Anolis sagrei: one gene and its partner. The protein of the gene in region 2 purifies or fractionates together with the protein of the main gene of each other region. This does not show direct contact. Links are inferred from orthologs where the notes say so. Each region holds a gene or a part of one and is shown on either strand. Other genes may lie near its edges.

Region 1 (3,919 bases), on a different chromosome or scaffold from region 2:
TGTGGGAGGTTTGGCCCAATTCTTTCATTGGTGGGGTTCAGAATGCTCTGTGATCGTAGGTGAACTATAAATCCCAGCAACTACAACTCCCAAATGTCAAAATTCTGTTTTCCCCAAACTTCACCAGTGTTCACATTTGGGCATATTGAGTATATGTGTAGAGTTTGGTCCAGATCCATCATTGTTTCAGTCCACAGTGCTCTCTGGATGTAGGTGAACTACAACTCCAAAACCAAAGGACGCTGCCCACCAAACCCTTCCAGTATTTTCTGTTGGTCAAGGGAGTTCCGAGTGCCAAGTTGGGTTCAATTCAATCATTGGTGGAGTTCAGAATGCTCTTTGATTGTAGGTGAAGTATAAATCCCAGCAACTACAACTCCCAAGTGACAAAATCAGGGTTTTTTTAGTGATGGTCACTCCTTGGGTTAGTAGGTGTCTTGTGGCCAAATTCGGCAGCAATTCATCCAGTGGTTGGTGGGGTTCAGAATGCTCTTTGATTGTAAGTGAACTATAAATCTCAGCAACTATAAATCCCTGTAGAGTTTGGTCCAAATCCATCATTGTTTGAGTCCAAAGTGATCTCTGGATGTAGGTGAACTACAACTCCAAAACTTTATATAAATTGCATTATTATTATAAATAATTTATATTTTTATAAATAATTTTATATTATTATATTGTATTATGATTAGTTTTATACTCTTACATTATATTATTATCAATATTCTATGTACATACAATATATTATATGATTAGCACAGAACAATATTAGTAGCTATTTATTAAATAAATTATTTAGTATTTTATTTATTAAATAAATAGTGCATAGAAGCCAAACTCTGTCCTGCCACAGAGTCCTCCACTCTCCCACTTGGTAACCTAGGAGACCCAGAGGTTCCCTCTTGGCGGACTTAGCCCCCATCTCCTCTCTAGCCCCCATCTCCTCTCTCCCTCTCCGGAAGTGCACTTTTTTCCTGTCTTCCGCTCTCTCCTCTCGTTCGCCTCGCGCTCTGTCTCTCTCTCCCTCTCTCTTCCCGGCTCGCCGGCCGTTGATTGCAGCAACAAGGAAGCAAGATGGCGTCGGCGGGCGGAGATTGCGACGTGATTATGGCGGCCGCCCCGGCGGTGGCTTCGCATCCTGAGGCGCCGGTGATGCTGGGCGACGAGGACGAGGAGTCGGAGACGCGGAGGTAAGGCCTGGCTCCTCTCCCGAGGCGGGAAGGGCCTGCTTCTTCGCTTCAGGACGGGGAGGAGGAGCCTGCTTCACAGGAAAGCGGGGGGAAAGGAGGCCCTCTCCAGGGGCCTTCTGCAGGCAGCATTGTCATGCCTCTCAGCCCCTTTCTCGGGGTTCTGGAGTGCCAGAATGCTGCACCCCAGCATGAGTGCAGTTTGACCCCACTTAAACAGCTAAGGCTCCATGTTATGGGGCCCTGGGATTTGTAGTTTGCTGGGAGCAGACGACGTCGAAGCCCTTGGCAACTAAAGTGGATCCAAGTTTGCAAACAAACCATTAATTCAGGGTTGCTGTGAGTTTTTCGGCCTGTATGGTCGTGTTTCAGTATTGAAAAGAGTGAATGAATTGTTTACTGTACCAGCCATAGGCCATGACATCACATAATATACAACCTTTAAAAGTACAATGAGAAGTTCCCAATATGACTATTACTTACTTAGGTGATCCCTCGTTTTCCGAGGAGGATTGTCTTCCAGTATTCTTGTGGGTCCGTATGTGGCTGTGGAGCCCTATTCTTGCTCTGCATCTTCTTCTGCAGTGAGGGCATTGGTTTCCAGGTGGAAGGCGGTCTCGGTCGGGGTTGGCTTGACACGCCTTCCTCTTGGCACGCTTCTCCCTTTCGCCCTCCATTCATGCCTCTTCAAATTCTGCAGCACTGCTGGTCACAGCTGACCTCCAGCTGGAGCGGTCAAGGGCCAGAGCTTCCCTGTTCTCAGAACTTGTATGTAGTTGCCTTCACTTAGGTGATCCCTCGTTGTCCGAGTAGGATTGTCTTCCAGAATAGGTGTACTGGCGGTGGGTATGTAGGTGACTGTGGAGCCCTATTCTTGATCTGCATGTTCTCCCACAGTGAGGGCATTGGTTTCCAGGTGGAAGGCAGTTCTGGTTGGCTTGACATGCCTTCCTCTTGGCACATTTTTCTCTTTCACCCTCCATTCGTGCCTCTTCAAATTCTGCAGCACTGCTGGTCACAGCTGACCTCCAGCTGGAGTGGTCAAGGGCCAGAACTTCCCAGTTCTCAGTGTCTTTGCCAGAGTTTTTAAGGTTGGTTTTGAGCCCATCTTTAAATCTCTTTTCCTGTCCACCAACATTCCGTTTTCCGTTCTTGAGTTTGGAGTAGAGCAATTGCTTTGGGAGATGGTGGTCAGGCATCCGGACAACGTGGCCGGTCCAGCGGAGTTGATGGCGGAGGACCATTGCTTCAGTGCTGGTGGTCTTTGCTTCTTCCAGCACGCTGAAGTTTGTCCGCTTGTCTTCCCAAGAGATTTGTAGGATTTTCCAGAGGCAGCGCTGATGGAATCATTCCAGGAGTTGCATGTGATGTCTGTAGACAGTCCACGTCTCACAGGCATATAGCAGGGTTGGGAGGACAATAGCTCTATAAACAAGCACCTTGGTATCCCTACGGATGTTCCAGTCCTCAAACACTCTCTACTTCATTCACAACCACAAAGGTCTGATTTGTAACATCCCAAAACATATCCATTTCTCGCTTCTGCTATGGACTTTAATAATAATAATGATAATAATATATATTTGTGTTCTATTTTAAGAGGACCAAACGTATGTTGTATGTTGTGTTTGCACTGTCTGTTTTTGATAAGGCCAACTGGCTAATCAATAAAATTGTTGTAATAATAATAGTAATCATCATCATCATCACTTTATTTTTCTATCCTGCCTCCATCTCCCCAAAGGGACTCTGGGCAGCTTACATGGGGCCATGCCCAGAAAACATACAGTTAAAAACAGAACAGCAAAATATAAAACAGCATAAAAACAACATCATCATCAAAAAATAAAAGCAAGCATCATAAGCAACAACATAGGTACCTCTAATCTCAATTTTTGCAGGGAGAGGATCAATATATAGTTATTTGTTTGTTTACAGTATTTATATTCCACCCTTCTCACCCCGCAGGTGACTTAGGGCAGATTACAATGTACATATACATGGCAAACATTCAATGCCATAGACACATAACATATATAGACAGACACTCAGGGGCTATTTAACAATCCAGCTTTTTCATGAGGATATTCTGGCCACCAGGGGAGCTGTCGCTTCACCCTCCATAAAAAAACCACCAGAATCAAGAGAGTAAATAAAGAACACTACTCAAACAGGGGAATTCCAGACAGCCAATCATCAAGTGCCTGTTAACACCTCCCAAAGATGCCCCCAGGCAGCAACAGCCATGTTTAGGAGAGCCATCGAGTACTTCGTGTGCTAGGGTTCCTTGTGCAAAGCCTGTAAAACTGGGTTAGTATTATGAGTGCTTGTAGAAAGCCTTCAATGGCCTTTGGTCATCCAGTGAAATTCTGTAGTGGACTTGACATTTTTGCCAGGTAATCAAGTGCCACATCATTCCAGTTTGTCAGAGAGAACAAACCTGTTCCTGTGTGATCCCAGAAAGTTTGAGCAGCCACCACATTGTGTCCATATTGGGATTGAAATGGTTCTTTCTTCAAGTTAGCCAAGTTATTGTTGGGTTTTTTTTTTCTTTTGGTCATGGATACCTTTCAGAATCTCTTGGAAACTATGGAGTCCACTCCCCAGAAAAATGCATGGCAGAAGACAAATTGTAGCTTTCTCACATTGTAAATTAATTTTGTACAGATAAGCTACTCAGGAACAACAACAAAAAAGTGATGACTTGAAAGAACCAAATTTCTACGCTATGT
Region 2 (3,919 bases):
ACAACAACATTAAAAAACTCTAAAATTATAACAGCAAAACAACAGAGAGGAAACAATCTTGGACATCTAATCACCTCTCAACAAAAGATTGCCCCAGGCACTAGCAAGCCACACCAAACAACAGCCAGGCCATCAAATGCTAATCAAGGTGATCAGTTGAAACATTCACACCTAGCTCCAACAGACAAGAGTCCTTTGTCCCACCCTGGTCATTCCACATATATATAAACCCTTTTTCCTAGTTCCAACAGACCTCACTACCTCTGAGGATGCTTGCCATAGATGCAGGCGAAACGTCAGGAGAGAATGCCTCTAGAACATTTATGTATTTATTTACTTTGCTTGTATACCGCAGTTTCTCAGCCCGAAGGCGACTCAACGCGGTTCACAACATGAGCAAAAAGACAATCATAACAATATACAATTTAAAAACCAGTAAGGGCATAATATACAAAGTAATAACACATCAATAACAACACATTAACATCTCGTAACTAGAATCGTGATCCAAATTCGTCGTCTATGATTCCGTTCCTATGTTCACCATATTCATTGTAATGTTTATCCGAATGCCTGTTCAAACAGCCAGGTTTTTAGTTTTCTTCGAAACACCATTAGCGTAGGAGCTGATCTGATGTCCATGGGAAGGGCGTTCCACAGCCGAGGGGCCATCACAGAGAAGGCCCTGTCCCTCGTCCCCAACATGGCCATATAGCCCGAAAAAAACCTACAACAGCCTATGAATTTTAATGCATGTCCTTTTTTAAATCTCTATTTTGGGAGTTGTAGGCCAAAACACCTGGGCACCCACAGGTTGAGAACCACTGTCTTAAGTGATGTGCTAATGGAACACAAGCATTTATTCTCTGGCATCATGATGTCACATTTGCACTGAATTCCTGTTCTACTTGTGAACAGGGCTGAGAATTGCGGTATATAAGCACAGTAAATAAATAAATAATAAATAAATAAATAAAATAAGAAGGACCAGACCAAACTATTCATTCTCGGAAGTGGGCAGGTTGCAGGCCATTCAGGATGGAATCCATCCATGCAGTAGTTCTCAAACTTTGTTTTTTGGACTCCAACTCCCAGAATTCCTCGCCGTTGGACAAGCTAGCTGAGGGCTGCTGGGAGTTGAAGTCCCCAATCCTGGAGGATGGAAAACTTGGGGGCCACTGAAAGAAGGAGTCTATCATCTCTTTGTTGATGAAATCCATACCTGTCTGCAACTACCTGCATTGTTTCTCCGACAGGAATTTTGCCTCACCTCTCTATTAAGGCGGGAACTCATCTGCTCAATACGCATGCGCATTTTCACCCCCCTGAGACCAGATACGGGAGTAGTAGCCTATTAAGAAAGCGGGGCAGAGAGTCACCTGAGATCTCGCGAGAAGCAAGAGTGCGCTGAGGCAGATTTTGTTTGCGCATGCGTACTTGTGTTGTTTCTTCACTCGTATATCCAGCGGTGCTTAAGTGGAAATTTAGAGAAGAGGGATGGGAGGAAGGAGATGCGCATGCGCAAGTCCTCGTGCATCTCTGCCCAAAGAAGGGCGGTTTAACGTGGGCAAGAGTGCGCATGCGTGTTGCCTGGGGAGTCCGAATAAATAAAAGCGACAGCGTCCGTTGGTGGCTGTTGTGGAAAGGATGCGAGCTGCGTTGACCTGGAGGGATAAGGCCGAGCAGTGGTAAGAGCAACCGGGCTGGGAGAAGCTGGAGGTGCATCTACACTGTGGGATTAAGGCACTTTGACTCCACTTCTTTCAACTGCTATGGCTCAAGGCTGTGGAGTCCTGGGAGATGTAGTTTGTTGAGGCACCAGCACTCTCTGTCAGGGAAACCTAAGCACTTTGTAACATTACCCCCATGATCCATGGTATCTCAACTGCATTATTTTCTCAATGTAGACGTACCCTGAGAAGAGACAAGCTATCACTGCAAACTGAATGACAGCACCATGGCTCACTATGGAGTTAAGGGAATTGTAGTTTTACAAAGTCTTGAGCCTTCTCTGCCAATGAGTGCTGGTGCCTCACCAAACTACATAAGGAGCCCCCGGTGGCGCAGTGGGTTAAACCCCTGTGCCAGCAGGACTGAAGACCGACAGGTTCGAATCCGGGTAGAGTGCGGATGAGCTCCCTCTATCAGCTCCAGCTCCTCATGCAGTGACATGAGAGAAGCCTCCCACAAGGATGGTAAAAACATCTGGGCGTCCCCTGGGCAATGTCCTTGCAGGCAGCCAATTCTCTCACACCAGAAGCGACTTGAACTTTCTCAAGTTGCTTTGACACGGCAAACAAAACCAAACTACATATCCCAGGTAGAGCGCGGATGAGCTCCCTCTATCAGCTCCAGCTCCTCATGCAGTGACATGAGGGAAGCCTCCCATAAGGATGGTAAAAACATCTGGGCGTCCCCTGGCAATGTCCTTGCAGGCGGCCAATTCTCTCACACCAGAAGCGACTTGCAGTTTTTCAAGTTGTTTTGACACGGCAAACAAAACCAAACTACATATTCCAGGATTCCATAGCATTGAGCCATGGCAGCTAAAGGGGTGTCAAACTGTGGCAATTCAACAGTGTAGATCAGGCATGGGCAAACCTCGGCCCTCCAGGGGTTTTGGACTTCAGCTCCCACAATTCCTAGCTGCAACTCCCATAATTTCTAACAGCTGTATGTAGGCCATTGGCTGGCAAAAGTATGATAGCTGGGACCCAGTGCCGGTAGTGCTACGCTGGTTGCGTAATGTGGCTCAGAATTAGAGAAGGGAACATGTGCGCGAGAGACCACACGCAGTGAGAGACACAGCTATGACAGACTTGACAAGGTAGTTCGGTAGAAAGGAGGAGGGGACACAGGCAAGCATACTGATGTAGGCTATCCAGAGATCCTAGGCAAACATGTTCAAAAATGTTGCATTGGAAGGAAGGATAGAAAGGAAGGAAGAGAGAAACATGAGCAGTGATAAAAAATGAATCAAATCTTGTCACTCTTACATTACTTCACTGTTATCCTGTGCTACCTGCGTTACATTACTTCACTGGTATCCTGCCGCAGCTGCATCTCTCAGTCGATGCTCTGTCTCGCGCACATGTTCCTATCTCTAATTCAGAGCTGCGTTGTGCAACCAGCGTAGCACTACCAGCACTGGGGCCCAGCTATCATACTTTTGCCCATAGGGCGTTAGAAATTGTGGGAGTTGAAGTTAGGAATTGTGGGAACTGAAGTCCCAAACCTCTGGAGGGCCCAAGTTTTCTCATGCCTGGTGTTGATGCACCCTGCTCTTCCCAAGCAGCTCAGGCAAACAGTCTGCTGCAGCCTTTCCTAGGGTGCATCTACACTATAGAATTAATGCAATTTGGCACCACTTGAACTGAACCGCCATAGTGCACCAAGGAATCATGGGAGGTGATGTTTTCTAAGGCCATGAGCCTTCCCTGCCCAAGAGTGCTACCACATTACAACACCCGGGATCCCATAGCATTGAGCCAGGATGGTTCAAGTGGGGTCAAGCTGCATTAATTCTACAGTGTAGATGCACCCTTAGCTTGTCTTTTCCTCGTGGAGAATGTTTGAGCTACTCTTTTCCTGCTCTTTTGAACCACTTTTGCTGCTTGGTCAAATGGTTCTGTCTGCAAAATGTTGGCGAGTACACAGTAATTGTGGTGCAGTGTTTTAAGTATTGGATAATAATAATCATAATCATAATAATAATACTTTATTTGTAACCCTCCGTATCTCCCCAAAGGGACTCAGGGCAATTTTCAATGAGTAACAAAAAATGGAAAAAATAAAATAAAAGCCAAAAGCAGCCAAATGACAAATCACATCAAAAACAATGGATAAAACAATCTCAATATGAACTTATACAACTAACTGAAAAATAACTGAAAATTACACTTAAATAAACATAACACAT

What was found.
Region 1: the proteins of IFT122 (region 2) and DNAJC7 purify together in Homo sapiens (co-immunoprecipitation; 3 studies listed by BioGRID and IntAct, counting the BioPlex papers as one, with this or other methods). This does not show direct contact. The link is inferred for Anolis sagrei from reciprocal best matches to the Homo sapiens genes IFT122 and DNAJC7.

What each region holds. Positions count from the first base shown.
Region 1 is NC_090026.1:45,047,556-45,051,474, reverse strand, and holds the start of DNAJC7 (dnaJ homolog subfamily C member 7), read left to right. Parts: upstream 1-965; 5' UTR 966-1,074; coding exon 1,075-1,190; intron 1,191-3,919. UniProt on the Homo sapiens protein: Acts as a co-chaperone regulating the molecular chaperones HSP70 and HSP90 in folding of steroid receptors, such as the glucocorticoid receptor and the progesterone receptor.
Region 2 is NC_090022.1:49,983,902-49,987,820, forward strand, and holds the start of IFT122 (intraflagellar transport protein 122 homolog), read left to right. Parts: upstream 1-1,445; 5' UTR 1,446-1,647; coding exon 1,648-1,688; intron 1,689-3,919. Other genes in the region: MBD4 (methyl-CpG-binding domain protein 4), read right to left, coding at 1,223-1,242. UniProt on the Homo sapiens protein: As a component of the IFT complex A (IFT-A), a complex required for retrograde ciliary transport and entry into cilia of G protein-coupled receptors (GPCRs), it is required in ciliogenesis and ciliary protein trafficking.